2 linked regions of the Medicago truncatula genome follow. Each later gene encodes a partner of the first gene's protein in a complex. Links are inferred from orthologs where the notes say so. Each region holds a gene or a part of one and is shown in the gene's direction. Other genes may lie near its edges.

Evidence for each region.
Region 2: the proteins of NADH dehydrogenase [ubiquinone] flavoprotein 1, mitochondrial (region 1) and NADH dehydrogenase [ubiquinone] flavoprotein 2, mitochondrial are in contact, whole or in part, in a cryo-EM structure (PDB 9F5X), measured with the Chlamydomonas reinhardtii proteins. The link is inferred for Medicago truncatula from reciprocal best matches to the Arabidopsis thaliana genes CI51 and AT4G02580. Residues at the interface, in XP_001702590.1 of Chlamydomonas reinhardtii: Asp58, Glu59, Arg61, Phe63, Gln64, Asn65, Ile66, Tyr67, Arg69, His70, Met78, Ser79, Arg80, Gly81, Tyr84, Met85, Glu88, Ile89, Lys92, Trp96, Gln100, Tyr133, Glu142, Pro143, Gly144, Thr145, Cys146, Arg149, Glu150, Arg153; in XP_001698508.1 of Chlamydomonas reinhardtii: Thr42, Arg79, Tyr80, Pro81, Tyr84, Gln86, Ser87, Ile89, Ile90, Pro91, Asp94, Val95, Glu125, Val126, Phe129, Tyr130, Thr131, Met132, Phe133, Gly147, Thr148, Thr149, Pro150, Arg152, Leu153, Gln154, Glu184, Met185, Glu186, Cys187.

Annotation. Positions count from the first base shown.
Region 1 is NC_053042.1:16,128,020-16,143,775, reverse strand, and holds NADH dehydrogenase [ubiquinone] flavoprotein 1, mitochondrial, read left to right. Parts: upstream 1-7,695; 5' UTR 7,696-7,870; intron 7,871-9,323; 5' UTR 9,324-9,334; coding exon 9,335-10,786; 3' UTR 10,787-10,800; intron 10,801-12,595; 3' UTR 12,596-12,966; downstream 12,967-15,756. Other genes in the region: casein kinase 1-like protein 10, read right to left, coding at 848-888, 983-1,061; protein NRT1/ PTR FAMILY 5.2, read right to left, coding at 13,219-14,104, 14,192-14,757, 14,862-15,079. UniProt on the Arabidopsis thaliana protein: Core subunit of the mitochondrial membrane respiratory chain NADH dehydrogenase (Complex I) that is believed to belong to the minimal assembly required for catalysis. Complex I functions in the transfer of electrons from NADH to the respiratory chain.
Region 2 is NC_053043.1:51,108,456-51,124,407, forward strand, and holds NADH dehydrogenase [ubiquinone] flavoprotein 2, mitochondrial, read left to right. Parts: upstream 1-9,722; 5' UTR 9,723-9,823; coding exon 9,824-9,880; intron 9,881-9,972; coding exon 9,973-10,005; intron 10,006-10,092; coding exon 10,093-10,158; intron 10,159-10,501; coding exon 10,502-10,618; intron 10,619-12,444; coding exon 12,445-12,522; intron 12,523-12,618; coding exon 12,619-12,724; intron 12,725-12,838; coding exon 12,839-12,885; intron 12,886-13,531; coding exon 13,532-13,609; intron 13,610-13,711; coding exon 13,712-13,777; intron 13,778-13,981; coding exon 13,982-14,089; 3' UTR 14,090-14,344; downstream 14,345-15,952. Other genes in the region: formamidopyrimidine-DNA glycosylase, read right to left, coding at 603-705, 934-1,011, 2,087-2,137, 2,452-2,577, 2,655-2,723, 4,179-4,236, 5,310-5,361, 5,467-5,695; uncharacterized protein, read left to right, coding at 15,569-15,952. UniProt on the Arabidopsis thaliana protein: Core subunit of the mitochondrial membrane respiratory chain NADH dehydrogenase (Complex I) that is believed to belong to the minimal assembly required for catalysis. Complex I functions in the transfer of electrons from NADH to the respiratory chain.

The DNA of each region.
Region 1 (15,756 bases):
GCCTAATAGAAGTATACAAATCTTGAAGCAAGGGATGGCACATCAAAATACGCAAACCAACGACTCAGTTCATATCTATGTAACATTTACATAACTGAAGGGGAGTGCATAGTTAAGCAGACTCATGTGGTCATGCATATAGACACAAGGGGAAAGCAAACTCCATAAATAAGTACATAAGTACATAAACTACAAAATCTGGGTAACGTGTATGAGTACAAGTACTTAGGTAACTAGTAGGTACAAGTACATGTAATGAAGTTGCTACCGATGCGGATAATGAACTACTAACAAAGACATGGACACCATACTGACACGAACACATCAACACAGGTGTCTATTTAAAAAAATGACACAATTGAACGTAATCACATGTGTCAGTGTCGAGTCAGACAATGACACGATATGAGACACCGCACATGCCTTGGATCAAAAGTGTCTATGCTATAGTGGATACAGGTATTTTGTCCAATTGTGGATAAGGGAACAAGTACTATTGTTCCCTGCCCAAACTCTACTCATCATCATCCCTAAACAGTGATCGGAGTAATAAGGAGATTGTGGATTCAATCTCCCCGCTAACAAAAATTAGAACTAAAATTTTCCATTTAAAAGTCAACTAACTAGTAAGCAATCACCAACACAATTCAAGTCAAAACTATAAAACAAGAAGATACCGTTACTTCAATACAATGCAACATGAATCATAAAAACTCCAAAACATGCTTTCCCCTTGTGTACATATGTACTTAGCAACATGATTCACAAATCTAAAAACAAAAACATAGCAACATGAATCATAAAAACTCCAAAACATGCAACATGAATCCATAACAACTTCACTCACCAGCTTAACAGCCACTTCCTCTTGAGTTTGCACATTAACACCTGAATCAAAAAAGTCCAAATTATTCAAACAAAAAATACAGTAATTAAAAAAAAATAAAAAAATAAAAAGTATAAAAATTGATAAAGTGCATACCCAAATAAATTTCTCCAAATGACCCACTTCCAATTTTCCTCCCAAGTTTGAATTTTCCACCAATAACAAGATCCATCATAACAAACCCAATAAAAACACACCCCAAAATTCAGAATTTTACAACTGTAAAAAGTAAAAATCCAATTTTTATAAAAATAGGATGGAAAACGAAAAAACTAAAAGCGACCCATCACTAGTTGAATCGAAGTAAGAACGAATCTGGGTTGTGAAAAGAAAACCCTTTTACTTTGTTCTACTCCAGAAAATGAATTTATACAAAAAAAAAAAAAAAAAAATCTAATGGGTGAAAAGCGATATTGACGCAGAGAGAAGAGTGGGGATTTGGATCTGTGCGTGGAGATGAAGGAAATGATCTGAGTTCCGAAATTGTAGAGATTTTGTAGGAAAGAAGGAAAATGGATGAGAATGGAAGTGTGAATGATTGTGGTGGAATGTGCTATTATCATTATTAAATTAAATTATTCTATTATTGTTATATAGTATTGTGAATTGTCAACTAATAAATTCAAGGTATTTCTTTATTTATTTATTTTTACAAAATAAGAAATTCAAGGTTAGAGTTAATATATATACAGCTTGATCAAAAAAAAGATAGTATATACATTAATTAATTAATTTTAAGATGATTTTTTTTATTCTTTTTATTAAAAAAAACAATAGTTTTAATTCTAATTTTATAATAGAAAAAGGGATATTCTCCTTCTCAAACCCTAGTCGTCATCTCTTTCTTCTTCTTGTCGGAGGGCTGATTTAGGATCAATTTTGACACAAAAATCACTCATCCGAGTTGTTTTTCCTTATATCTTAATTGAATAAGGCACCGTTTGCTTTGAGCTTATGAAAAATAGCTTATGTAAATAAATAAGCTTTTATTTTAATTTATAAGCTCTCATTAACGAAAATTGTATCTTCATTAACGATTTTTTCATAAACTACCTTAAAAACTTATAAATAATACATAAAAACTTATTTATTTACATAAGCTGTTTTATATAAGCTCTAAAATAAGTTAATCCAAACGGGCCCTAAGTGATTTAACATATTTTCTGTTTTCTTTCGTTTGTTTTTGTGATTTCATCGTCTCTGAACGACTCTGTTTGTTTTGATTTCGAGTCTTTGTGTGGTGTGTTTTTTATTTCTCACCTTAGTGCGGTGTTTATTTGATTCAGGTTGAAAGATTAGCTTTGAAGAAATGCAAATCTTATCAATGACAATGACTTTGGCATCGTCAACGTTGCAGATCTAGAAACATGAATATTCTGGAGTGTTTAATACAGTCATATTAGTCATATTTGTAGGCATAGGTATTTTGCCGTTTTATGTTAATAACATGGATGTTGTGATTTTTTCACATATTCATACTTTTTGTTTTTAGCGAATTTGAATTTGTATTGTATCGATGTACTTTATCAATTTGAATAAATGAATATCTTTTATTTTTGTCAAAAAAAAATTATAATGGAAAAAGACAAGTCTTAAACTCAAACGTTATGGGTTCAAAGCCCACTAGGAGGAGTTAGAATAGGGTAGGTGAGTAATGGTTTCGTTCGGTATTCGATCAGAAAAAATATTTAAACTGATAATATTCGTAAATTAATAAGCAACATGCTCTCTTCAATAATCTCAAAGTAAGGAAAATTACCTGTTGTAAACTTACAAGCAACATGATCTCTTCTAAATCGATCAAATTAAAGAAGAAAAAGTTACTTATGAGCAACATGATTTCTTCATTAATCACAAAGTAAGGAAAGTCATTTGAAAATGTATGATCAACTCAAGACTTTATAATATTTGCAAACCTGTATGCAATGTTATTTAATTATACTATATATAAATAAAAGGGTTAATAGGTCTTGACCCCCCTGTAATATAGGTCATTTCTGGTTTTCACCCTGTAAAATTTTTATTTTGATTCACCCTCCTGTAAAATATTATTTTTTTCAAGAAATTTTTGTTTTTCGTTGATTTGTTATAACTTAAAAGCAACAAACATTTATATTTTTAGTTTTAATCAAAATCAAAATTTCATAAAAAAAAACTATTCATAATTTTCAAACGTTATCGCAATAAAAAATAACACGTGAGTGTCCGTCTTTTCGCTAGTGTTAATGATGAAGGGATGTTTTTAAAATAAAAAATGCAAGGTAGAATCTTTTTTGGAAATTGGTGACTTTATACTTGCATCAATTTTTGTAATGTCTAATATATGCACATGCCTAATTTTTAGGATTAACCTCCTATGCATTTTGTGTTGATCAAAAACTTTAATAAAAACATATTATCCCAAAAAGAGGAGAAAACAACCTCGTGACGCTGGTATTATAAGTTGTAAATTCACAAATCTCACTCCATCCATTTGTTATAAGTTGTTGATCCAACGATCCATTCCAAATCACAATATGTTTGTAAATGCATGCGTAAGCCTTCTAGTTTTGGTAAACTTCCTAACCAAAAATATACACAAAAGTAGGATATATGTCATTGTATGTCTCTAGTCCCATAATATTTTTAACATGGAGATATATTCATTAGTATCCAATTATTAATAATTACAATTAAAAAAAAGTAACAATAATTAAATAACGTTAATGAGTTACAACATCTCTGATATGAATTGTTTTGAACTCAGTCTTTCTTGGTTTTCCTCGACACATTTCCCCCAATGTTGCTGAAACTGACCACATAGGTATTTGTTAACAGTAAAATCGTTTTTACAACTTAAAGAAATCAATCTACTTTAGATTAGTAGTGGTAGCGAATGCAATGAAATTATATAGTAAGAATGGATTTACAAATAATTGAATATTGTCCATATGTTGGATACTACTTGTTCAAATATTTCTTAAAAATCTTTATAGGGTATATAACAAATTTGGTTAATGAGCACGTATAATTACTTTGATTTCTTGTTTGTGTAAGATGTTTGGTTACTATATATTCACGTGACTTTTTAAAAAATTTATTTAGAATATAAAATATATGAAAGAATGTATTTTTATAAGTTTTAGCTAATAAAGAGTAACTGTTTACAACATTAGTAAACAACCTTAAAATATAAAAAATAACATTAATAAACATCCTCTTGGAAGCTAAAGTGAGTAGCAATTTACAATGGACATCTATATATGAAAAATTATGAAGAATTTAATCACAAATGTCTGCAAAGTTAAATAGAATTTGGGATAAAAATTAAGATGAACATAAACATCTTCATGATGTTGCACCAACAGCTGCCACTCATTACGCCAAGCTGATATGCTCTAAAAATTTACTAACCATCTAAGAATATATAAGAAAATACAATTTTACCCTCAACAAGGGCATATTCGTAAAGTAATATGGGTGATTTCGAAGTTAGAGTTCTACATCTACTGATGATGTCATTGTCATGTCTTTGATTTCCCTCCTTCACATCTTCTTCATCATTTCTTTCTTCTTTACTAAAGTTGAAGTTCTTCAACTCGTTCAACTTCAATATTTCTTGATGTTAGCTTCCATTCTTTTTTATCAATACCATTTTTTCTATATATCTCAAACCATGCATGACATATTTTTTATTTTATTTCATAAAAGTCTTGCATTTGAACTATTATTTTCCTTTTTCAGATGCATGATTTGTCCAAGCCACTTAACCTAGCATTTACGGTTATAATTTAATTTTTCATTTCATTGATTACTAAAAGGTTTGAGCTTTGCTTTTGAGGTATTTTTTCGATAGATGATTTGTAAGAGGTTTGTTCTTTGCATTTTAGGATTTTACTTTTCTTTCTGTTTTGTTGATTTCTAAAGACCTTTGCATTTTAAGGTGGCGTCCATGTGTGCATTGACTTTGTTAAAATTGGTCTGGAGGGCCAAAACTGCAAAAAAGTCAATACTTAGGAGGCGGTTTTGTAGTTTATTTAGTTAGGGGGCCAATATCGCAACTTCTTGAAACATAGAGTGTCGAAACTGCAATTAAGCCTAATCTTTACTACCGATCTGTAAGTCTACATGTTTTTATCGTAGTGTTATTTATATTTTATCATAATTTAATCAAAGTTAACTATATTATTGCAAATTATTTGATGTGTGATTTCAGAACTCCTGTCATCTACTATTAATGTAGGTTATAATACATATTTACATCTCATACTCTATACTAACTATGTATGTATAAATTATGCTTTTACTCATTTGTGACCATATGTACACAAATATTGTCATAGATACCTTATAATATAAACCTTCATACTCACATGACTTAAAGACTACGCCTAACATACTGATAGACTGGAGTTCTCTTCCGTTTCAACATATCACCTTAATTTGAAGTGTGAGGAGATCTGATATAAATTTTAAGATTTATCATACATAAATATTAGATTGTCTAACCATTTAGCTGCTTATATAGGCAGGGATTTGAAAGACATTGAATAAGAGTGTTAGCACATTAAGAGTCATTGAGAAGCTTCAAATCAAGGATGTTGGGCCATTGCCTAATTTGAATAATTTTGTTGGATAGTCATTCGAAAATCCTTTGTTGAAACTAGAAGTATATTTTCATTCTCTTTGTCCTTGAAGTCCTTTATTTGTTTCTACACGTGATCAGAAGAAGACAAAATTATACTCAGATCCTTTGATGGAGATAGCTATAGAAGACGACAAATCTGACGTGGAGTATGGGTCCCTCACGATCTGTTGAGTCTAGGGGTCTTTCGAGTCTGATGATCTTCATCGAGTCTAATGAGGTTGATCTTCGGCTTCTGAGAGACGTCATTTTCTTCTAATCCAAGATGTTGACTTTCGGTTGACCTTTCTTCAGATCTTCTACCATATTCTTTTAAGCTTCTCTTGTGCTTCCGACGCTTTAATATATGTTCAATCTCTTGATGGATATGTTCTATGATCCTGCACATTTGAACAAATATTAATATATCCAATTGTTCGTCAATACTTTGTTATCATCAAAACCTTAGAGGAATTGTACAAATCAATTTTGTTCCAACAATATTAAGTTCATAATTCCAAATGGAATTGGATGATCAATGGATGTTGTTTGCTACCTATGCCCTGCTTTCTTCCTTATTATTTATCAATGAAATTATCCTTTATGAAATCAGCCTATGTTGTGTTTTCTTTTCAACATTTTGAAGCTATATATGCAGCTTGAATTTGCTTACTATTTAAATTCAGGACTAATGGTACATGAAAAATCATTAAACAGAAATATATTACTATTATTATGGTGAACTGATTAATATGAAATTGTAATTTGAGCAAATTATGAATAAATGTTTCACAAGTATCTCTAAGGTATCTGTGAACATGTCTTTAGAGTGAGAAGTTTTCAAAGAACCAATTGTTATTGAGAGCTCTGAGAATTGATATTTACCATATCTTATGTAGAAATTTGCTTATATATAGATCTTATTGAGAACAAACAAATAAACTCTGTTGCATTTGACATAAAAATTAAGCTCGTTAAATAAATGCGTTCAACTTGAGCTAAATATAATTTGACTCGTCTTTGTTAATGAGATAGCTTGATATACACTTATGCTCATTGTATCTAAGTTGCTTTTATACTACTCATATTAACTTTTTTTGTGACAAAATCTTAAGTTATGATTATCTTTTTGGTTTAAAAATCGTGTCACATGAAAGCTATAAACAATATCTATAATTATTATGAATACCATTAAGGTAAATAAATTTGTTATTGCTCAAATATAACTATTTAATTATATTTAACACTTAACAATCACACACTTAAAAAACTCTCCAGTTTAACTAAAGAGTTCAAACACATCATGGTAATATCATGTATGAAACATGATACTTCAATATTTCTTCATTAAAAAAAAGAAGAGGATTACGTTGAGAAGTAACAAAATATCCTAAAGCTTTACATCATGTTTGTGCTTAGTAGCTTGTAAAAGAGATATGTTATACCATAATATAAGTGAAGTTGAAGTCCCACATTGAAACATTAACAATACCACTTGGGTTGGTCTAGTAGTATTGGCTTGGGATCTGGGAGTGTGCTCCTCCTCAAGGTCTCAGGTTCGATTCTCTTTGGTGTCAATTTGAGGGGTTAGTTTAACTTTTTCAAAAAATATTGGTCGTCCCCTATAAGGCCAAACTCGGATAGTTTTTTTTTCAAGCCCATATTTTCAATAGGTTTTTTTGGTCCGACCTGATAAGGCCCGAAGGCTCTAGACAAGTCAGGTAGCCTATTTTGACAGCTATACTCGCACTACCCTCAAAGGAACTTTCTCCCTCATCCACATCCCCACAGAAAAAACTTCTTTGTATGCGAATTCCCAAAGGCCGTCTCCGCATGGATTCACATTGAAAGATGAAATTCACACAAGTATTAACACTTATGTATAAGCTATTTTGATTGCAAAAACTAAAATAAAAGCAGTGCTAACAACACTCTTTATAACATCCACTCTCTTATCGAGTGAAATCAATATAAATTCTACCATTTTATGTGAGTCTCATTTTCAAAGTAAACAAACCACATTGATTTCATACAATAAGATAGACAATATTAAAGAGAATGTTAAAAAAGCGTTGGTCATACTCTTACTAAAATAAAGTTAAATTATTTTTCGTATAAGCTATAAATAAGCTGATTTTACAAGTCAATACAAACATACCCTTGATCAATTTTTTTGGTTGTTGCTAATTATCTCTTTCATCATTTAAATCTCCATAACCTCTTTTCATAAGTATGCAACGTGGCTAAACAAAAGCCCAAAGTTCAAACAACCCAACTCGTGTTATTTCTTTCTTTCTACCAAACAAAAAGCTAAATCGAAAAAACAAAACAAGAAGAAGAACAACAAGGTTCTCCATTTCCAACACTTCTTAGATCCGCAGGTACATCCTTCATCTTCAATTTCACATCCTCTCATTCTTTTTTCATCTTATTCTTAACCCATTTATCCTTATCTTAATTTACGCTAATTCTTTTACTTTTAAGCTTAAGCTCAAATCTATGTTATAATTTTAATTTAGTTTTCATTCAATTTTTGGTATAAACACATTCAAGCTTGCAATTCACGTGCATTTCAATCTTACCCACAATTTATTTCTTCCTAGATTTGTAGATACAGATTACCCCCAACGCTTTTTGTTCTTGTTAGGGTTTCAGTAATCTTCCCAAAATCCATTTTTTGTATTTATTTATTGATTTAGTTTACATCTGATTGAATTGGGTTGGGATTGAATGTGTGGGGCTTGATGGAGGTTGTTTTGTTGGATTTTTTGTTTAATATGGCATGTTATGAATCAAAAAGTTGTTGAGTGTTTTAAGTTTATGCTTTTGATTTTTCAATTGGGTCTCTGAACTCTGATTATGGGTAATTTGATCCATGTAGCCGACCTCATTTAGTGGGATAAGACTCTGTTGTTGTCTGAACTCTGGTTATGGGTGTGTTTGGATTGACTTATTTGAGCTTATTTACTGTCATAAAAACTTGCGAGATTGTTTCAAGAGGTTATGGAAACAGCCTATCACATGTCCATAAGCTCTTTGAGATAGCTTATGAAAACAACTTATGGTTTTGTTTTAGCTTTTGTTGTAGAAGTAGTGTATGCATAAGCACTTATACGATAAGTGTTGCTATAAACACTTAAGTAAGTTATTTATCCAATTATGGCCTATAACTAATTGGTAATTTGGAAGTTTGTCTTTTGAGGTCTGAATTTTGATTCATGTGCTTTGATTTTATTGGATAGCCGTAAAGTTAATAGTCAATTTTAATTTATTGTCCTCTTAAAAAAAATAAATTTGAACTGTAATGTTTTATTTGACTATCTTTAGCTTTGGACAATTTGGTTTGAATTGATTAACCCAAATTGTTTTTTTTTTTCTTTTTTTTTCGGTCTGAACTCTGATAACGACCAAGGGCCTAATTGGATCGACTTATTTGAGCTTATCTACTAACATAAGTTTTGTAAGACTGTTTGGGGGAAACTTATGACATTGTTCACAAGTTGTTTTTAGCTTATTTTCACAAGTTCTCCAAGATAGCTTATAAAACCAGCTTATACGAAAACAATTTAACTTTATTTTACCTTTTTACTTTAGAAATAGCTTATACATAAGCGCTTATCATAATAAGTGCTTGTGATATAAACTGTTTATCCAAACAGGGCCTAAGTGGGTAAACTTGTTTTTTGACTCACGTGCTCTGATCTTATTGTTTAGCCCAAAAGTTGATAGCCAATTTTTGTAGCATTGTTTTATTTGACTATTTTTAGCTCTGGACAATTTGGTTTGCATTGATTAACTTAAATGTTTTGTTTGGAAACTTGAAATTATTTTCAGGTTGGATAACCATGAGGGGCATTCTTTCTTTAAAGAGGGCAGTGTTGGTTCGACAACATAGCGAAAAGTTGGGTCTTGGTGTTAGATTATTTAGCACTCAGGGTGCCTCAACTGCAAGTACTCCGCAGCCTCCACCACCACCTCCACCTCCAGAGAAAACCCATTTTGGTGGACTTAAGGATGAGGACAGGATTTTTACCAACTTGTATGGGCTGCATGATCCTTTCCTGAAAGGTGCCATGAAACGTGGTGATTGGCATCGCACTAAAGATTTGGTAATTAAGGGTACTGATTGGATCGTTAATGAAATGAAGAAGTCTGGTCTCCGCGGACGTGGTGGTGCCGGTTTTCCTTCTGGCCTTAAATGGTCATTTATGCCAAAAGTATCTGATGGTCGTCCTTCTTACCTTGTTGTTAATGCTGATGAAAGTGAACCTGGCACCTGCAAAGACAGGGAAATCATGCGCCACGACCCACATAAGTTGTTAGAAGGTTGCTTAATTGCTGGAGTGGGAATGAGGGCTACTGCTGCTTACATCTACATCAGGGGTGAATATGTGAATGAACGTTTAAATCTTGAAAAGGCTAGGAAAGAGGCTTATGCAGCTGGTCTTTTGGGTAAGAATGCTTGTGGCTCAGGCTATGATTTTGATGTTCATATCCACTATGGTGCTGGAGCTTATATTTGTGGTGAGGAAACAGCTCTCTTGGAGAGCCTTGAAGGGAAACAAGGTAAACCAAGATTGAAGCCTCCTTTCCCAGCCAATGCAGGATTGTATGGTTGTCCCACCACTGTCACAAATGTGGAAACCGTAGCTGTCTCTCCAACCATTTTAAGGCGTGGGCCAGAATGGTTTGCCAGTTTTGGTAGGAAGAACAACGCTGGGACAAAGTTGTATTGTGTGTCAGGACATGTGAACAAGCCTTGCACTGTTGAGGAGGAAATGAGTATGCCACTGAAGGAATTGATTGAGAGGCACTGTGGAGGTGTTAGAGGAGGATGGGACAATTTGCTTGCTATTATTCCAGGAGGATCATCTGTTCCACTGATTCCAAAACATGTATGTGATGATGTTCTGATGGATTATGATGCGTTGAAGGCTGTTGGGTCAGGGTTGGGGACTGCAGCTGTGATTGTGATGGATAAGTCTACTGATGTTGTGGATGCCATTGCAAGGCTCTCGTACTTCTACAAGCATGAAAGCTGTGGGCAGTGCACACCATGCAGGGAGGGAACAGGATGGCTTTGGATGATCATGGAAAGAATGAAAGTTGGTAATGCCAAGCTAGAAGAAATTGATATGCTTCAGGAGGTGACTAAGCAAATTGAAGGGCACACAATCTGTGCCTTGGGTGACGCTGCTGCATGGCCAGTGCAGGGACTTATCAGGCATTTCAGGCCCGAGCTTGAGAGAAGGATTAAAGAGAATGCACAGAGGGAGTTGCTGCAGGCCACTGGTTAGAGGCCTAGACCAAGGTTGTTCACTAAATTATTTACCCTCATTTTGCTTTTAATCCCATTTACTAAAATAGCTCATAAACACATGGGTATATAGATGAAAAAATATATTTAGCTTAAATTGAAGGATCAGACATTAATATGTTAGTTGTTTAGATAGGTATGAGAGATGCCTTTGGAAAACTTAAATGTGAGAGCTTGTTACTATGGTAGTATGTTATTCCTATGAAGTGATAGCTGTTGAACGTTTATCTTTGAATTTGGGTTAGGTCTAACAGTCACATAAAGCCGGTGGGTAAGGTGAAATATGTCTCCTCCTTATAAACACCATAGCTGTTGAATGTTTATCTTAGAATTTGGGTTAGGTCTAACAGTCTCACAAAGCCGGCTGGTAAGGTGAAATATGTCTCCCCCTTATAAACACCTTTTCAAGCCATATCTCATCCAATGCAGGACTTTCAACAAAACCATCCCTCACGACCATGTCTGCGCATCTGGAGCGTGATCCGTGTGGCCCGATAACGTGTGACCTAATGAATTTATGACAGACTCTCGAGCTTAACTCAACCATACAAACCCGAGTAGTAAGGGGAGGGGTGCCTCCCACTTATAGACATTGTTTAGGCCAAATTGCAGTTAACTTGCATGATCCGTGGCCTGATAACAGGTGACCGACTGGATTTAGGACAAACTCTTGAGTTCAACTCAACCACACAAACCCAAGCAGTAATAGGAGGAATGCCTCCCACTTATAAACATTGTTTAGGCCATATCACATCTAATGTGGGACTCTCGAGTCTCAACAATTGGTTTAGTGTTGAAATCTCATTTTAAGGGTGCAGCTTGTTCCGTCAAAGAAAAGGATGTAGCTTGTTAAATTTGACTGCTTAAAGAAAGTTTGAAGGGTTTGGTTAATTTTATGGGAAGTTAGTTTTTAAAGTAGTTCCTGGGCAGTAACACATTTCTTTTGCTTAGAGGCTTGTATTTGGAATTATTTTAGAAATTCATATATGGCTGGCTGAATTGGATATTCCTTTTTCATAGCTTTGATTTGTGTAACATTCAGTTCCCATGTTGTTCATATATTTATGTTTGTGTGATATGCTTTAATAGGAATACACGTTCTAATATAAAAAGATATATTTGGGTAAAAAATTGTGTTTGGTCTGACCTATTTTTGACTTCTCTTCTTCTTAAGAAGAAGTTAGGCCAAACAGTTTTTTTTGAAAATTCTTAATTATAAAAGGAGGTTTTCTTTTATTTATAAGAACTAGATGCAAAGAACTTTTTCAGAAATTAGTCGAAAGGAGCTTTTCAAATCAAGTAGGAGACCTTTTATTATTTAGCTCAAATTCTGACCATAAAAAAGAAACCCAGAAAAATAACAATCACCAAAACTTTAGCTTTGTTTCTACAGTTCTTGTTTTAGCATTAATTATTATTAAGTAGCGTCTAACTCAAAAAAAGCTATGCCATGTGGAGCTATAGTATGTAATGATTTCTATCTTTTTCTGTGCTAGAGTTTATCGTGGGTAGTTTTATGTTTAGGTTGTTTTGTTTTTGTCACATGTCAAAACTCTAGCTATTGACCAAAAATATTAGCCTGAAAAATGCTAGGTTCATATAAATAGTTTTTCTCTCTTAATATGTTGGGATTTTTGTTATTGGAAAATCGGGTCAGATTGATCCATCTAAATGTGAAAGAAAATTTTATATTTGAATACCAATTATGCTGAAAATTTCATCTTTCCTAGGGAAGATCTGCCTGTTTGATGCCTGATTTTTCTTTTCATTTGTATTGTATTATGTGTAGGGGTTGTGACTGTACTGATGATAGCTAAAATCAAAATAAAGCAGTGCCAGTCATTTTGGAAAGATAGGTGGCTCAGGTTCCTTTGGCTTTATTGCTACTTCGTTTTACTTTTATGCCATAGCAATTATGGCTGGATAATACCAGAGAATCATCTGGGCCGGTATAAACTATGCTACCTAGACTTGTCATTTGGCACATTTTCATGTGATTTGTTAATAATATCTGTATACTGTCATTAATTTTGAGAAACATATCATGTTTATGTTTGTTATTTATCAATGAATGATGAGGGATAATGTCCACTGGATATCAATGGCTTTGATTTGGGATTAACTTCATTTGGATCGACTATTTGTTTATTTGTATGACAATGTTCAACAACCAATATTAACTTGCTTTTATGAAGTCTATTAATCTATAAGCTAAAATATATTCATTATTAGCAATAGGACATTCACTATTATCAATACATTGTTCAGATGAAGGATAATAAACTTTTACACTACAGTTGAAAATAAAAAATAATCAGAGACATGATCGTTAAGCTATATAACATTTTCAAAATTTGTTCTTAAGAATGTGGTGTTTAAAACACCCTATTGCCCTTCATATACACAACACAATTATCTTCTAATATCTGTTTTGACACTTATAGCTGTTGTCCTCTCTTTGAGCTCTGTTTCAAGCACTTTTAGAGAATCTGAAACTTCAGCTCTGTAGACATAGATTTTTGAGACAATCATGAAGAAAATGAAGTTCAGGGCATTTAGTATTGCCAAAAATGCGTAGTAGTAATCAAGATGAGAAGCATTTAGGTTGTTCAAAATCCACCCTTGGTGACTATGTTTCTTTGTGATATGTGAAACTGTTGAGAGAAGAAAAGTGCTAAGGAAACTACCAATGCCCGTAGTAGTTAAGGAATACGAACTCCCAAGGCTCTTCATGCTTTCTGGGGCTTGGTCATAGAAAAACTCAATTTTGGCACCCTCTAAGAGGGCTTCTGCTATTCCCATAAGTACAAATTGTGGAGCCAAAATGAATATGCTCAATGGAACCTGTCCTCCATTTTCAATTACTCCATGTTCTTTGGCCACAAATAGTCTATGTCTTTCAGCCAAATATGCAACTATCATTATCACTATATGGATTATGAATCCTATGCTCATTCTTTGAAGAAGAGTAATCCCTCTAGGGTTCTTAGTCAACCTCTGCATAATCTTGACAAAGAAATGTTCATAGATTATATACGTGATAATCATGGTTAAGATTGTAACTGCAATTAAACTTGATGGAGGAATATCGAAGTTGCCAATGGCTCTGTCGAGTGTAGATCCTTGCTTTACAAACAAGGTATTTATCTGAGCAATCATTGCACTAGGAATAAATGTAGCAACCCAAATAGGGATTACACTTAGGATTTGTTTGGTCTCCTCTACTTGTGTTATAGGACATATCATCCACTCGCTACTAGTTCTTGAACCAGTGTCCACACAAGCCTTATTAAGGAACCTACACATGCATTTGTAAATACAAGAATCAACATTTCCTAGTAAAACCACACATCAGAAGTATGAGAAAGTAGGCTAGAACTTGTACCTGAATGTTGGAGTGGAATCAATCTTGAACTTCCCTTTACTGGTATACTCTTCCAAACTAAGCTCATATAGTTCTTTTGGGTCTTCAGGAACAGTTACACCCCATTTCCTTATAGCTGCCACAATGACCTTAACCATTCTATTAATGGGACTCCCTGAAAGCAATTTGTGTCTATAGAAAGGTGTGCCTGCCAAGAATGTGATGATTGATATTGCAAATCCAGTTGTTTGAAGAGCATAACCAAGAGTCCAACTCACATTATCTTGTATATACACTATAACTGTGAATGCAAATAGTGACCCAAAAACAATGCAGGACATCCACCAATTGAAGAATGAGAGCTTAAGTCCCTTCTGTTTTGGGTCAAAATCATCAAACTGGTCAGCACCAATGGTGGAAATGTTAGGTTTGGTTCCACCTGTTCCCACTGCTATAATGTAGAGGGCAACATAGAACACAACTAGCTGTAGTGTGGTAGCTTCTTTACACTTTGTCACATCCATTTCATGGCACTCAGGTGGCTTTAGGCTTGGTAGAGAAACTGATAGTGTAAGTAGACACATACCCTGCCATTAACCAAAACTCATGAATTATGAACAACCCAAAAGAATCAGAGAAATACTAACAAGCAGCAAGACTTTGCACATAATAATGTAAATGAAAGGCATACCAATAAATATATAAGGGAGGCAATGACAAAAGTCCAATAGCGACCAAGGTGAGAATCAGCAACATAAGCACCTATTATGGGAGTAATAAAAACAGTTCCAACCCAATTGTTGACATTGTTGGAAGAGGTGACAGTGCCCTGGTGAAGTTTCTTTGTCAGATATAGGATCAAATTTGATGATATACCATAGTAAGCCATTCTTTCAAATGTCCCATACACTGCATGACACATGTCATGAACTCATTAGATCAAAACAATTCAATTCAATGTGTAATAAGGTTTATACATATCACAACCTTATCAGTAATACTCACTGTCTCATTAAATTTCATATTTGTGTATCCGGTCTTTAAGGAATTGATGAATTAGATTGACTTCAATGGTAAAATTCAATAAATCAGAGTATAATAATGAAAAAAATAATAAATGGTGTATTGATATTATAAAGGGATAATTATTTTGAGACAGAAAAAATGTAAATGTGACACTTTTTATGAGATAGAGAGTTTACTTCCTAACGAGTATTAACCAGATACTTTAGTCATGTGAAGTTGAAATTTTCTCTATCATTTTGTCAAGTTTGGAACAAGATCTTTGCAATTTTTTGATAAAACAAAAATGAGAACTTTACTAATTTCATAGAACTTGAAATTTTATCCATATGGTGTGTGTGTATATATAATAGTTTTCTCCATTCTATGAGTACTATAACATCTCAATCTAATTTTAGTAAACTTTGTCTTGGTCTGAACGCTTTCTAAGAACCTTTTAAAAGGCCATCCATCACACCAGTGATCCAAGTCAAACACACTTAACCATACAATTTTTACTTTCTAAGTTTGTTTGTTTTTTTAAACAATGCATCTTGTTGACATGAGTAGTATCAATCATTTCT
Region 2 (15,952 bases), on another chromosome or scaffold:
CATATAATATGTAGGCATAGCAAAAAAACAGAGTACGTAAAAAAGAGCCAAGGAGAAATGAGAACATCAGCCACTTTCAGAAACCCTTTTGAAAGCATTGTGAAGATTGGCATACTTTCTTCTTAGAAATACGCATAAAAATAGTAACAGAGCTTTGACTCAATAGGAGAAACCCGTGAGTTTCAAACTGGAATACTCAATTATTATTAATTATTTCATTTAATACCTTCAAAACAATCAAGGTATAATATATTACTACAACGTCACACTCTCCACAAATATTAAAACTTCGTTTGTAACGTAATCATTCCCCAATAATATGAAGGCACTCTGGATGCTTCAATTTTAACATGAATCCAATAATAGTAAATCACACCAATCAAGAATACAAGTTTAGGGAATTGAATAACACTTGTATTATTTATTTTTTACTGTAATAAAAAAAAATAAGAATACAAGTCATGCAATTTACTACAATTTTAGGGAAATTGCATATGAAATTAAAATATAAGCAGCTCAATACCATAGTAAAAGGGTACGATTCATGTTGCACAAAAAAAAATATTAGTTTTTTATTTTTTACTCAAAGTAGGGAAGCAAACCATCAACAAAAGCTTTGCCGGGCTTCTTTTCACGGGAATGAAATATCCAATTAGTGGGATATTGACTACTATCTGCCCCAACTTCAACTGCTTTTTCGACAACCTGTAAAATAAATTTATTTGTCGATTAATAAACAGTATTCCTCACCACTTATTTTTCCAGGCTTTTTCCCCCATCGAAAATGAAATAACCACTCAAGGGGAAAACGGCTACAGTCAGCATCAACTTCAACCGCAAATTGAATAACCTACAGGTTTTAGCCTCTGTACTTTTTAAGGAGTCTAGACGTTCCAGAACAATAAGCAATTTAAAGGGAACCAGCGTCCCTACCTCTTTAATGCACTTATATAAAGTTGAGCAGCTTTCTCCTGATAGGCTAGAAGCTATCTGCCGTGGATGAATCCTTGCCTGGAAACAAGGGAAATACAATAAGTTACAACTTACATTTACAAGGCATGGAGTAAATTATCGAATTTGATCTTCTCCAAGGCTAGAATAGTAGTTTATTAGCCGCTGAATACAAAAAAGAAGGCCGGAGCAGATACTAAATCCAGTGAAATGCTATTTCCAAAAATTTGAAGCACCTGCCTCCTAAATTCCTAATAATAAATAATTAATAAATACAGATGCAAAAACAACCACCAGCTCTAAAACCTTTCTCATTAAGTAGCATTGGCCTCATGAATCAAACAATGTCATAATGTTTCATCATGAATCTTGTCCGGTGACAGACCATTTGATTCCAAATTGTTCCTAATTGTTTGACCAATTGAATTATAAAATTCTAGTAAACAATAATAGTTGCTAACAGCTTATAGAATCATCTAGACCAATTTCAATTCTGTATAAGGGTAGATGATTTCAGTACCCAAATAATAAGTTAAGAACACAACTCTGAATTCAATATTCATTTTATATTCTTACAGAGCATAATTGTTCCTCAAGGTGACAGCCTAACGATCAAATCCCCTTTTTATTATATGTATACCCACACACAGACACAATAAATCTTCATATATAAGACTAAAAGCAACTAATAAGCATCATACGTTCCAATATAATTCTTATAAAAAGAAATTATGCTTTATTCATTTATTTCCCATTCCAACTAGATTTCAGACCATTCTCAATCTTGATAACATGAACAAGTATCTATCTGTTCAATCAGCATAAGGTCAAGGATATAAAAGAAACCTAGGGAGGACTAGATAAAACGATCATCTTGCTGATGCAATATTAATACAACCAAGTATATGATATTAGTCTATTAAAACTCAATTAAGTTCATTGATTTTTTTTGAATTCATATGTGATCACTGCCTATTAACCATTATATCACCATACATTTAAATTGCTAAAAAGATCAAGTTTAGATGAGAATTAAAATTTAATAAGTTATACATTCAAAAATCTTCAATAGTTAAGAAAATACATGGAAAATATCAAAGATCAAAATCATTGAGGAGATAAAAGATCCACTTACTTGGTACAGCACTTCATCTGCAACCCAATTTCCAATGCCTGAAATATAGCTCTGCAGAGGATGGAAATTTTATATCTTTAATAAATGTTAAAGTCAACAGGAATATAAAGTTGGAACATCAGATTCTTATGCATTGTAAAAGCGCAACAAGAGAAAGATGTAAAAGACACAGAAATCAGAAATGTAAAGGGCTTTGCTTTAAGAAAAACTACACTCAAGTTAGCGTATCAATATAAAAACAGAGAAAAAGAATGCACATGTATAGTAAGATAATGATTATATCCTGATCATAAATAAACAAATTAAAAATTTAAAAGACAAAAAAATAAAATATTTGGGAAGTGATAAAAGTAAGCAGTTAATACTTGATCTAGTAATAAAGCCTTGATTTCAGTTTTCTTCTTGTGCAAACGCTCAGTAAACTCATCAAGTGTCATGAAATCAAAAAGTGCATCAGGTCCAAGCTCAGATATGGGAGGCACTGATGTCGGCTATATCATGAAAAAAATACAGTTAATATCAAACTCTTATTAATATGGATGACAGTTTGCAAGTAGGGTCACAATACATCTTTGAGCAGGCGAACTCTAGCAAATCGCCTTTTGTCGGTGAAAGACAGCTCCAAACCATCGTCTAGCTGCAGCAATGTGATTTAATCTGGTTAATACTCTTTTGAAGCTCACATAAATGACAATACTCACTAGGGAAACATATCATCAAATATCAAAGCTAACTATGCATGCGAAGAAAATTGAAAAATCAAAAGACAAATCCCCTAAGCACAGAGGCACAACTTCATACCGATTATGCTCTTATGTATGAAATGGAAAGATAAAAAAAGTCAAATGCGAGGAAACATGTAGAAAGTTCAAACTGCAGATGTTGAGAAAATCTAATGACTTCAAATTTGGAGAGCTAACTCAACCCCAAAAGTTGGCTCAAGGAATGAGGATAGGCCAAGTCTTACAAGGGGAATATTTTAACAATATCTCCGACGGGTGTGGGATCTCAACGAAATGCTTCACTACATCTACAGACTAGAATTTAATAAAAATTTAAAACCACAGTATGTAACATGAAAGTAAATATATGTCATTACATGACGACATTACAAAACATCTTCACAAGCACTGCCGCCCCAAAATAATATCCACCAAATTGGAAACAAGCATGAAACTCACCACATGACAATACAAAAAAACTCCTGACACAAGCTTTCACATAGCTATTTTACAGAAAAAACTTAAACTTACAAACTGAATGTAATCAGAATCTTACACCCTTCTGCTTCACAGAAATATAGAAAGTTTTTCTTTCCCGTATACATGTTAAAGTGAAGAACTCCCTTCATCGACTATAACAAAAAAATAAAAACTATAACATATATTCGTCTATTTGATCTTCAAGGTATTGTATGGTCTTTGTATTCTTGTGAAATTTAATCCATCAGTTGAAGTTGCCAATGTGTTAGGGAGTAAGAGCACTTGGCTTAATCCAACAGGTTAAGAACCTAGTTTGTTCTATACCTTCTAAGCAAGGGATATAAACTACATTGTGTGATCAGAGTCCTAGTGTACTATAAATAAAGGTTAGATGTCATGGAACAGTAGACAGCCTCTAAAGAGCTTTTAGTGAATACATAGCATTTTCTCGCTCCAAACATGTTCACTCTCCCCATTTTCTCAATAATCTTAAAAAACTTGAACATTCAAAGTTTTGGAAAATATTCGTGTTGTTGTCTTACATTTTGGACAATATCAGTGTCCATGTCCAGGGTTTGTGTCCTTGTAATTGACAAGAAAAGTAATGTTTTCTCGCACCATGAAATCACGTATGGATGTAGACAAATGCATATGTATGATATATAGTAGTCACAGATGGACTCTAGCCCAACTCTAACATATAGGCTAATCGCATCTTACAACTGAACACAGATCTTATGAGTTACGAGTCCACAGCAAACAGTCCACTTCAATTTGTCATCATTCATCAAATAAAAAACATAGCATCGGATTCTGAGTTGTTACAAGCCCAAAGACTCAAGTGGTAAAGTTCAAAGCATTCTGCTCATCAAAGGAGTGACAGTTGTTACCTGAATAAAAAACTTTGAATACTTGGAAGGCCATTCATCCTCGTCATTTACAGCAGACCTGTGAAGAAGTTTATATCATTACATTAACCACTGAGAGAACTTATAGGTGTCAAATCATTGCAGCAAAATAACACACAAAGCTCATTGAGGTATGGAATATTAGCTCAAAATCAAATTAAAAACTGTACCACCCATTACACAGAAGGATAAATAAGAAATTACCCTAATGAGAGCACTTAAAGTTAATTCGCATTCTGAAGTTAATTCCTACCATAATTTTACATCTGAGCTTGGATCAAATAATTTTTTGTTACACGTGTATGCTTCAAACACCGCAAAATAACATTTTCGTATTCAAATTTACATTTTCATACTATTTCATGAATCATGAACTTAATAAAATGCCAACATTCGTCGGTGTTCTCCAGACACAGTCACCTAGTTGCATAGATGAAAAAATATAGATAACAGCATTTCTCTGATAATTTGCAGCCCGAGAGTATAAATATGTCTTCAAGAAAATGTAAAACTTAAAAAACATTCGCTATATATACCAGGGGATCCAATTCAGCTCAACACATGAGAATGAGTATCCATGCAAAACATTTTACAGCTTGTAGCTCTTAGTAGCACTACAAATTATAATGTAATTAGTTTCATACATAAATTTCCTATATTGATGTAGAAAGCAAAAAAATCACTTTAATGAAACTATAAATCTCAATCCAATCCAACAAAGTCTTGACAAAAAAGAAACATGATATTGTAAATCTGGAAAATGCATTATAATCAGAGAGTCTATATCATTGAATTTTTTAAAACTTGAGTATAACGTGTGAAGTAGAGATTAGCTAACGACAATGAAACACTCGCACACTGATAGCTAACGACAATGAAACACTCCACACTGACACGTACACGCAGACACAACCCTAAAACGTCAACACTTATAATTATTTAAAGGGAAATGCTAACAAGTGCCCCGGGCACCGGTTAGCAAGAACCTTTAAAAAAATATACATACAATTGAATATAATTCACATTTGGACACTGACATGTGTCAAACATCGAACACATTTTCAATCAGAAGTGTCGGTGTAACCGAGCTTAACGACACTCCATTGGCCTCACCTTTTATACTTTGTTACAGCAACACCCTTGATGTATACAGCACCAGCCATACCTAACACAGTCACAATCATAAATCGTAAGAAACTCGTAAGCTAGGGTTTCAAAAGGTAAGAGTGAGAGGGAGAGAGAGAGAGAGAGAGAGAGAGATAGAGAGTACCGAATTGAAAGGAAGGAAAAGGAGGAGAATCAAGCTGAAGCCACATATTCTTCCCCTTCCGGCGAGCTGCAACAATCTTCTTCCCAACAACGGAAGCTTCGAACTCTTCGCGAGAGACACCGTCGATGACTTTGTTATCATCGGCGACGATGCATTTGGTTATCTTCTTTCCGATACAGTTCTCTTCCACCGCTCTTCTCGCCGCCTCTACCTCCGGTAGCTCCGGCATTATGCTCGGTCGTGACTGTGATGGAGTTTTCCCGCGTTGCTTCTCTGTTCTTTCAAGCACGATATTCTATGTTATACCGTTACGATTCAACATGCGTTTAAATCGTGTCCGTTCATAGCGGTTTTGCTGCGGGACAAACAACGGCTGTGATTCCACGCCCATTAATTATTTTCTAATTTTTTTCAATTTTTTTTTTTATATATATTTCACCAAATTGAATAAATGCAAATGAAATGGAAATATTCTAACACCTTATTTGATCCATATTATTTTTTGGGAAATGCTAACCGGTGCCCCCGGGTCCTGGTTAAGGATAATAAAAAGGGAAATTATATATTAATTATTGCATTGAAAAGGGAAATTATTACCATAAAATGAAGTTTTGTTGACTTATTTATGGATTAATTAAACAATTTTCAATGCAATAATTAACATATAATTTCCTTTTTATTATCCTTAACCAGTGCCCCGGGAGTACCGGTTAGCATTTCCCTTATTTTTAAGCATAGTGGATTAATGGTGCAAGCTAGGATACTCCAAAATGGAGACATATTGCATCGGATACCAATGTTTCATGGATACTTTTGGATATGTATCCACGGAGTATCGGATACCAATGCTTCATGAATGCTTTTGTGAAAATGTATCAAGAATTCTAATGGTATGAGGTAAAAATTATTTTTTTAATTCTCAACAAAAACAAAAAAACTTATATTTATTAACGATGTAGTTAGACTTAGTTGAAAATATTTTGTTCGTTCAAGACATTGTACCTCCAACTTTCAAAAAAGGGAAAACAATGATGGAAATACGCCTTCATATATCTTGTTTCTTCTAATAAAACATATGAACAAATTATGAAAAAATATACACAAAGCACGTAGATAATAAGAAATTGGTTGAAAAAATACATGTTTTAATAATCAGTTAAAAACAACTATTATTCAAGAAAGTAAAATGCCTTCGTAAAAAGTTCCAACATTGTTTGTTGAAAACCACGTAACTAATCATAAATCAGTTGAAAACATAAATATGAATAATAAGTTGAAAACAACTCTTATTTAAGAAAGCAAAACATTTGAGTTTTAGTTTCAACATTATTTAAGATAAACAAATTTAAAGATATTTACCTCAAAAAAAAATTTCATCATTTTCAACCTGTAAAATTAACACAATGAGAAAGGGAGAAAAGTGAGAGAACAGAGAGAAAGAGAAAGACAAAGGGGTTTATCAACACAAAACGTAAATGTTTAAATTTATATTTGACAAGGGGTTTCGTAAAAATGTTTTTCCATTGACGATCATTATCAATGAACTTAATTTCATAAATACCATTCTAAACAGAGTCTCTTATCTAATGATGTTTAATTTCAATATGCTTTGTCGCTAGTGTAAAATAGGTTTTTTGGAAAATCAGATAACATATGTTTTTTCATAGAAATGTTACTCTCATTGGTTTGGTAACCTTCAAGTTGATATTTCATCCATAGAAGTTATGTGACATACCTTGTTGACAAGATGTATTTTGCTTATGTAGTAGATAGGGCAATTGTGCTTTGCCTCTTGATTTAATATAAGCATAAACTTTCGCCAATAAATTGACAGATACCACTAGTGTTTTTTCTTTTAATTTTATCTCCAACATAGTTAGCATTATATAATTAATATAGTAACTCGTATTCAAATGATTTTTTTGCAAAATAAACCAATGTTAGCAGTAAGATATATCTAAAGATTAGCTTAGCTGAAGTTAAGTGAGATTATTTCGGTATACCTTTTGATCTACATTGTCACTTGACTCATATTTACAAAGTGATCAAACGGAATAATTAGTGTGTGTGGATGGCTTACGAATTCTAACATATCATAATATTCATTAACCATTTACTCAACATAATTAACAATATACTATTACATTATGTAATCCATCAAAACAAAAATAAAATAAAATTATGTAATGCATCTAAAATGGCAAGCTTTGAGGTCAAACTAACACAACTCTAAAAAAAATGTACCCAACAATTAAAAGTGTAAGTTTACTACACATTTGTTGGGGGATTCAAGAGGAGTTTTCAAAAATTTAATCCTTTTAGCGAAACAATCCCAATAACGAATATTGATTAAACCATTAATCACAATTCAAATGGAAACCTAAACACAGTTAAAGATTCATGTGTTGAAGTGATGATGGGAAACGATGCAAGATGGTCATGAGCCTCGCACAAACGACATCGCCTCTACTCAATCCACATGAGCACAAATTGAAACATTGTGATATCCGTTCCATGCGAGGGATTATGACTATTAAGTTTTACATGCTTAAGTAGTGCATGCTCTTCTTCTATTTATAAAGAACAAGTCACCAAACCCTTGATGCTTATTAGATTGGGTTTAACCCAAAGTAAGTCTAATATCAATTAAATTAATTCATATTTAATTAATTAAATTTCAACCCTCTTTTTTGAACAAAAGTATATATAATTAAATAAATATGATTAATTAAATATCATTTAACATAATCATTGAACTTTATACATGCGTCTCTGTCGATTCTTATAACGTTAGTAATATCATCAAATGTTATATTTAATATCATAAACAACGAGCGATATTAGACAACATATTACTAATGTTATATTTAACGAGCAAAAAGACGTGCACTCATGTGGCCGTCTTTCCGTTTTTTATTGTTTTAACACGTGTAGATTATGAACTATATTTTATAAATTTTTTGCGTGTGAATTGCAAACGATATTTTATATAGATTTTTTTATATAGATTAAAATTATAAGTATAGATATTTGTGATTTTCAAATGTAACAAACTCAACAAATCATATTTACATTTTTCAATGACAACAATAATATAACAAATATAACAAAAATTCTTATCTTTTTAAATAACACCAACAATATGATATAGATTAAAATTATAAGCATAAATATCTATATCTATACTATATATAAAAAATAGCCCCTTTTGACCTTTTTGGGATGACATTTTCTTTTTCTCATATTACCCCAAACTTTAAATACAAATAACACTTATAATAAATAGATAATAGTAAATTCAAATACTTAAAGAGTGTAAAAAATTCAATATTTATTGTCTACGAAATATCAAATTTTTCCTTATCTTTTTTTTGTTGTCAAGTAGCCTAGTGGCTAGAGCTTACACAATTAAATTATGGAGAAGTGGAGTGTCCGGGGTTCGAACCTCGGCCCCTGCATATAATATGCAATATCCCTACCAACTGAGCTAAGCTCACGAGGATTTTTCCTTATCCTTTATTCCTTTAAAAAAGATAATTGATGCAGTGAATTCAAAATAAATAAAAAATGTAACAAACACGATATGAATATATGTCCAAATTTTCTTTATGCTTTAAAAAGTGAAACAAACTAGACCGAACCTATATAAGATTTTGGACTGACTTTTTCATTATCCGAATTATACTATAAAATAATTTTTTCTTTAATAATGATTGTTGTCGGTGTCATTACAAAAATAAGAGTTTAAATTATATTTTGTTATTATATTTTTGATCTCATTGAAATAGGTAAACAATGCTAGTTTGATTTGTTATAATTTAAAAGCAACAATAATTTATATTTATACTTTTAATCAAAATCAAAATTTCATAAAAAAATATCGCTCATAATTTTCAAACTTTAACGCGATAAAAAGAACGAAAAGACGAATACTTGTATTCGTCTTTTCACCAGTTATTATATAAATTTTGTTTAAGAGTATAATTAGAATAACAAAAATCAGCCCAGAATCTTTCTAAAACCTCGTATATAGTATAAATATCTAAAGAAACATATTACTACTACCTAAGTGACGAAAATGTCATACAAACCAAAATGATCGGCCAACAATCACAAGAGTTTAACCCTGGTACATGCCCATGACGAGATTCGAAGTTTTGAACCCAAACAAAATGTCGCGCAATCTCATCCATACATGTGTCGACATAAAATTGTTATCATCGAACGGTCATCAAGGTGCCACATCTCTACATTCTCTTACACTACACCCTTCTTCACTACTCTCTCTCTCTCTCTCTCTCTCTCTCTCTCCCCCTCCCTCCGATCCATTGTTTGGTTTCACCTTGTTCCTCCCAAAATGCTAGCACGCCTCGCCGCAAATCGTCTCAACCAGATCCGTCAAACTTTCCATCAGGTTTTCTTTTCAATCTCTCACTTCTATTTCTTCTTCGTTTTTATCTTCAATTTGTTTGATTTTTTTTCTTCCGTGTTTTCCCTTTTTCGCAGCCATCAAGGGCTTTCTCAACCGCTCTCAATTACGTAAGTGTTCTTCAAATTATCCTTTTCTTAGTTTTCATTTTCAATGTTGTGATTGTTGATTGTATCAATTTTTGAATTGGGTTGCAGCACCTTGACTCTCCGGACAATAATCCCAATCTTCCATGGGAATTCAATGATGCTAACAAAGCAAAGGTAATTTTTTTATTGTTTTCAAATTCTAAAATTTCAAACTTGGAATGTGTGATGATTTATCAATATGTAGCTGTAATTCAGCTCATTACCCTTTACTTTGATTATTGATGATTAATTGAGTTTAACATTTAGAGTTAAAAGCTAATTAGAGCAGAAAATAATGCATAAGAGGGTGTAGAATTTATGAATATATATGCTTTACTGATTGGTTTAATCAATAATGTTTCTATGATTTTTGGATTATTAGTTCCGTATTGATATTATGTATGTGATCCTGTTTAGTTTCTAGGATGTGTTTTTAAGATTCTAAAGTTCCAATGATTTTAATCTCTGTTAATTATAGGTTAAGGAGATTATATCTCACTATCCATCCAACTATAAGCAATCTGCAGTGATTCCTCTGCTGGATCTTGCCCAGCAGCAGCATGGAGGTTGGCTTCCTGTTTCTGCAATGGATGCGGTATGTTGAACTCTTTCGTGAAATATTCTTATTAAGTCCAGATAAGATAAGATCAGAATGATAGCTTTGTATAGAGAGCTGGGGGTAGCATCTGTTGTAAAAAAGATTAAAGATTATTGCCTTCGGTAGTTGGGGCATGTTTGGAGAAGACCTGTAAATATAGCAAAGAGGAACAAAGGGCAGATTAGATACTGTATAACAGGTAGAAGTGAAGGAAGATCATAGTATTCAACTATAGGCTAGACTATTTAAAGGGGTTTATACATTTGTTTTTTGGAATGACAAATGTCAGTGTTATGTTTTGTGTGGGGATAGAACTCTTAACCACCTTATCACTCCACTCCTTAACTCCACCACGGTCTCACCCCACCACCAAGCCTACCTTATATCCACTGAGTTTAGATTTGAATGGTAGTTCATGGCAGCCTTTTTTAAGATGGTTCCCATTAGATTAGTCAATAGCGCGCTATAGAGGCGTAGCAACAAGAAACCGCTATGGTGGGTGTCGTAACGGCACGGTTCCAGATAGTGCCCGCTGTAGCTGCTATATTGGTTTGCAGTAGCGGATCCTGACCTGCTATTGGATTTTAGCAGGAAAATTACAAATTGGCCTTAATTTTAAAACTATGTTATGAGACCCATGGTATTGTCTTCTATCCTATGTTTGAATTATGTTGCTTTCAGTGTATTTTATTTCTTGCAATGTGTTTGTAGTTTATTGTTGTTGGTGTGTTAATTTTTCATTTTATCATATTATAAAACTTTTGGTATGCTGTGTACGCGTGTAATACTTTTATAACAGCCACCATATTTCTGTTATAGGCATCAACGCTATCCAATAAACTTAAATTTTTATAATAGATTTTTAATTTGCTGTCACAACTCACAAACCACCATTTATAGCATCCATTGATTTGTGTAGCAGACCTTTCACAATTGAAAAAGGCTTTGGTTATTATTGCTGGCGATATCTAGAAGACTAACCATTCTATGTTTTAAGTCTATGCATGCATCAAGGTTTGGTTGTTTATGTACTCAACACTCTTTTCCTTAAAAAAAAAAATGTACTCAACATTCTTCTATATAAGTAGTCACTATCATTTATGTTAAGGCCCCAATGTGAATTTAGGCTCAAATGGGCTGATGCCCCATCAGCTGCCCAAGCCCACGGCGTAGGGATATTTTTTAGGAAATATAAGAAGAGCAAGGAAGAGAATGCTGACGTGGTAGAGAGTGGGGGTGGACTAGTTGTGATTAATTTTGTTATATGGATACAAAGGGGAGTGAACGGGTATCTTTGAAATCATTGGTGAGTTTATGAAGCACGGATACGGATACGTACACCAGACACGACACGGACACTGACACCGCTAATAATTTGAGAAAATCGCATAATTCAGTGTAATTATATGTGTCGGTGTCGTGTTGGTGTTGGACACGACATGTGTCCGACATCGGGACACACCTAATTCGAGGAGTGTCCGTGCTTCATAAAGAAGCAGAGAGTATTCTTCTATGTAGCATGCTCTGGGTAGTGTGAATGTGATTCCACTGATAGTATTTTCCATTTCATAAATAATACTTGATACGTTCTCCATTATTTCCCTTTATTCAGTGACAGTGTTTTATCCATTAATTTCTTAATTTTCTGTTCTAGTTCCTATCAGATCAATTTAATTGAGTTTTGCTTGTAATTTCCTATTGCTATGGTACACCACCGAAAGTCCTAAATTTACATATTGTTTGTAAACTGAATAATAAATTTCTTAATAATGGTAGAAGCTATTTAAATCCTTTATTAACAAACAGTTTTGTGAATCATTCAGGTGGCTAAGGTTATAGAGGTTGCCCCTATTCGAGTATATGAGGTTGCCACATTTTACTCAATGTTCAATAGATCTAAGGTGAAAGTCATTTCTTCTGCGTTGCTTTTATTTCTGCTAATTCACAGTAGTATAGGCCAAAACTTACTGGATCAACCGCCTGCTTTGAATTTTCAGGTTGGCAAATATCATTTATTGGTCTGTGGAACAACACCTTGTATGATACGAGGTTCACGGGAAATTGAAGCAGCTTTATTGAAACACTTGGGAGTGAAACGAAATGGTTAGTTCACCTTTGCTAATTTCTCCATTTATCAATGAACCTGATTTTATTCTTGATAAATTTGAACCGTATCTTTTTCATAAGAATTAGTTTTGTTTTACCTTTGATTTGCAGAAGTAACACAAGATGGTTTCTTTTCTGTTGGAGAAATGGAATGCATGGTGAGTTTTTCTGTTGCAGAAGTAACACAAGATGGTTCCTAGTATTCAATGCTGTAGTAATTATTTGCACTGAGGCAATCATTGTATATAGGGATGAATTACATGAAGGACAAAATTGGACTTTCTGATGGTCATTATTTCAATAGTCTTGGACATGTTTGATATTTGATACATGGATATCTTTGATGTTTGATATAGTGTGTAATTTCGAGTATTTTTCCGTTTTCAGTATGTGAAGTTATAATGCAGCGGGCCGAGCTGGTTGGCTTTAGTATTTGCCAGCCAGGAAGTTTAAACTGCTGCTAAAATAAGACAGGGCACAGTACCAGCTCTTGACTGCATAAGTTTTCTTGGTGCAAGATAGACTGTGCCATACATTAGTTTTTTTATAAAGAAAGGTCATATAAAGTTATCCAAATAACCCCTTAGAAATTTAGCCGAAGAAAATGACCTTTATGACATTAATATATAACTGAGAAAGATGAGAATCACCATGGTGGTTGGTATGTGTTTTCCTATGATCGGTGTTTATGTGTCCAGACCTTATTAGAGTTCTTTATGAAGTCCAAAGGAGTGCCAATGTGATGATCTTGACCACTGTTTTATTAGCAGCTAATGCATGATTGAAGTTGTTGGTGTTGTGCAGGGATGCTGTGTGAATGCTCCCATGATTACAGTGGCTGATTACTCTAATGGATCAGAAGGATATACTTATAATTACTATGTATGCCTTTCCTCTTTTCACTCTTTTTTTTGGGGAGGGGTTTATTAGTGTGCGTGTACTTTTGAAGAACTCTTAATATGTCATATTGATGCTTGATTGCAGGAAGATGTGACCCCAGAGAAAGTAGTTGAGATAGTGGAAAAGCTGAGAAAGGGTGAGAAGCCACCGGTAAGAGTAATCACCATGATCTATTTCGTTACTGTCATTGTTTTAGATACTCAGCGACATTGTTGAGAAAACATTCTGTTTTCATTTTATATTTTAGCTGCAAAACTGTTCCTTTTTTCAGCATATGCTTTCAAAGATCAAAATGTTTTCTGAAATCAAACATACTCTAACCTTCTCTGAATATGATTTTCTTTTGGTATTTAGCACGGCACACAAAATCCACATCGGATTAGGAGTGCACCTGAAGGAGGGAATACTACATTGTTAAGTGAGCCCAAACCTCCTCCATGCCGTGACCTGGATGCCTGCTGAAGTGTGTATGTGGTACCTTTTGCCTTCAATAATGTGAGGCTTGCACATCATCAAGCTTGCCTTAATTTGAACATTGTCAAATTATTAGATGCTCAACCAATTTTTGTATTAACTGGCCTGGATGGCTCTGTTCCATAAAACGCCACAAATCACTTGGCTTGTTTATTATTTCACTTCAGTGTTATCTATGTCTTTATGTACTCTGTACATCAATTTATCATCTTAAGTGAAATGAAATTTGAGATTACGACGACATCCAATAATATAGTTAAATTGGTTAATTATGTTGATATTCTTCATCCGTTTGAGTGGGATGGAATTGAGTTATTTCATTCAACAATGGTCATGCAATTGTGAACAATGTAACATATCCTGGCAGGTTATTATCATTGAATGAAATGAGTTGTCTAAGGAGTATCAGTATTTGACAATCAAGGAAAAGTCCACGGCAGGACCGAACACAAATTTAGGAAAACGACGTTTAAAAATTGTTTGCTTATTAGTTAGGAACACAATCAGACTCTATCTATCATCCAGCTGAACTTGGATTATTAGATCAAATTCTCATGAGAATTGGAGGGTTTAAGACCAAAAAACTTATTAACATGGTTGAGTTTTGCAAAATTTTCTTTCGTTTTATTTTATTTTATTTTTATGGTATGATAACTAATTAAAAAGGATTTTCCTTTCAATATATTTGATTTGTATATTGTTTTCCCAACATAAAATGATATATTGAACAAGAGATAAAGATAAAAACTTTGAATATCTCTCGTGTTGCTAAATGCTTAACAATTCCACTGCTGTTTTTTCATGTTTTGAGTTTGTACACATAAGAAGTTGATTTTATTCACCAGAAGTTGTTTAACGGTGACTATGTAATTATCAATCATCTATTTATTTTCTTATCCTATCATATCAGTTTATAACTAAATCTTACTAAAATTTAACGAAATAAGATTTTATTTATGTGACAATAAAAGAGGTAAAATAAGATAAGGTGATATCCAAGATTTGGATGGATTATGATGTTTTATTCACTTCAATCGGGCCCAATAATTTATTTTGAGATAAATTCAGATGAAACTAATTAATATAATCTTCCACCAAATCTACATATTCACAACATCAATAAAAAAGTTATTTAGCTATCAAGATTTTCTCAACAAACTATGGTACGCTTTTTTAACCTTTCTTGAAGATTTTTCACACAGTTCATGTATTTTACGTTTCATTCTCATCTCAATCATACAGTTCAACTTCAACATTCGCCACAACAACCTCTTTCCTCTAACTCAAACAAACTAACAACAAAGTATCTGTTTCAAAAACAGGTTTGAATTTCTCATCCTTCATATGATCCTGTTTTATCATTATAAAGGTTTTATGATTTATACATTTCAAATATGAACGCATGTACATGCACATGTTTGTTTGTGTTTTGTGTTGTGTTATAGGTGGTTTTCTGTTACTATAGCTATGAATTTAAATGCTGATGCTGTTTTATTTGATCATCATGAGAATGGGGTTTTGGGGTTTAACTCTATAATAAGGTTTAATGTTAACGTTGGTCTCTCTTGTTCTCAAACCCTAATCTGTGATGTTGGAGGAGGAACCAATGGTTCAATGGACACACTTTCTGTTTCTGAAGGGAAAGTAGGAAAATTTTCATGTGGGTTGGTGAAAAATGAAGAGGAGAAAAGTGTGATTCAATGTTCTGATGGAGGTGCAATGTCTGATCAAGGTTTGGTTTTTGAATTGAATGATGGTGTTCAGGTTGAACAGCAGCGTGAGAATGTGGGGAAAGTTGCATTGAGTAATGAGGTTCAAGGAGTTGAAGATGATGTGACTGAGCACGAACAA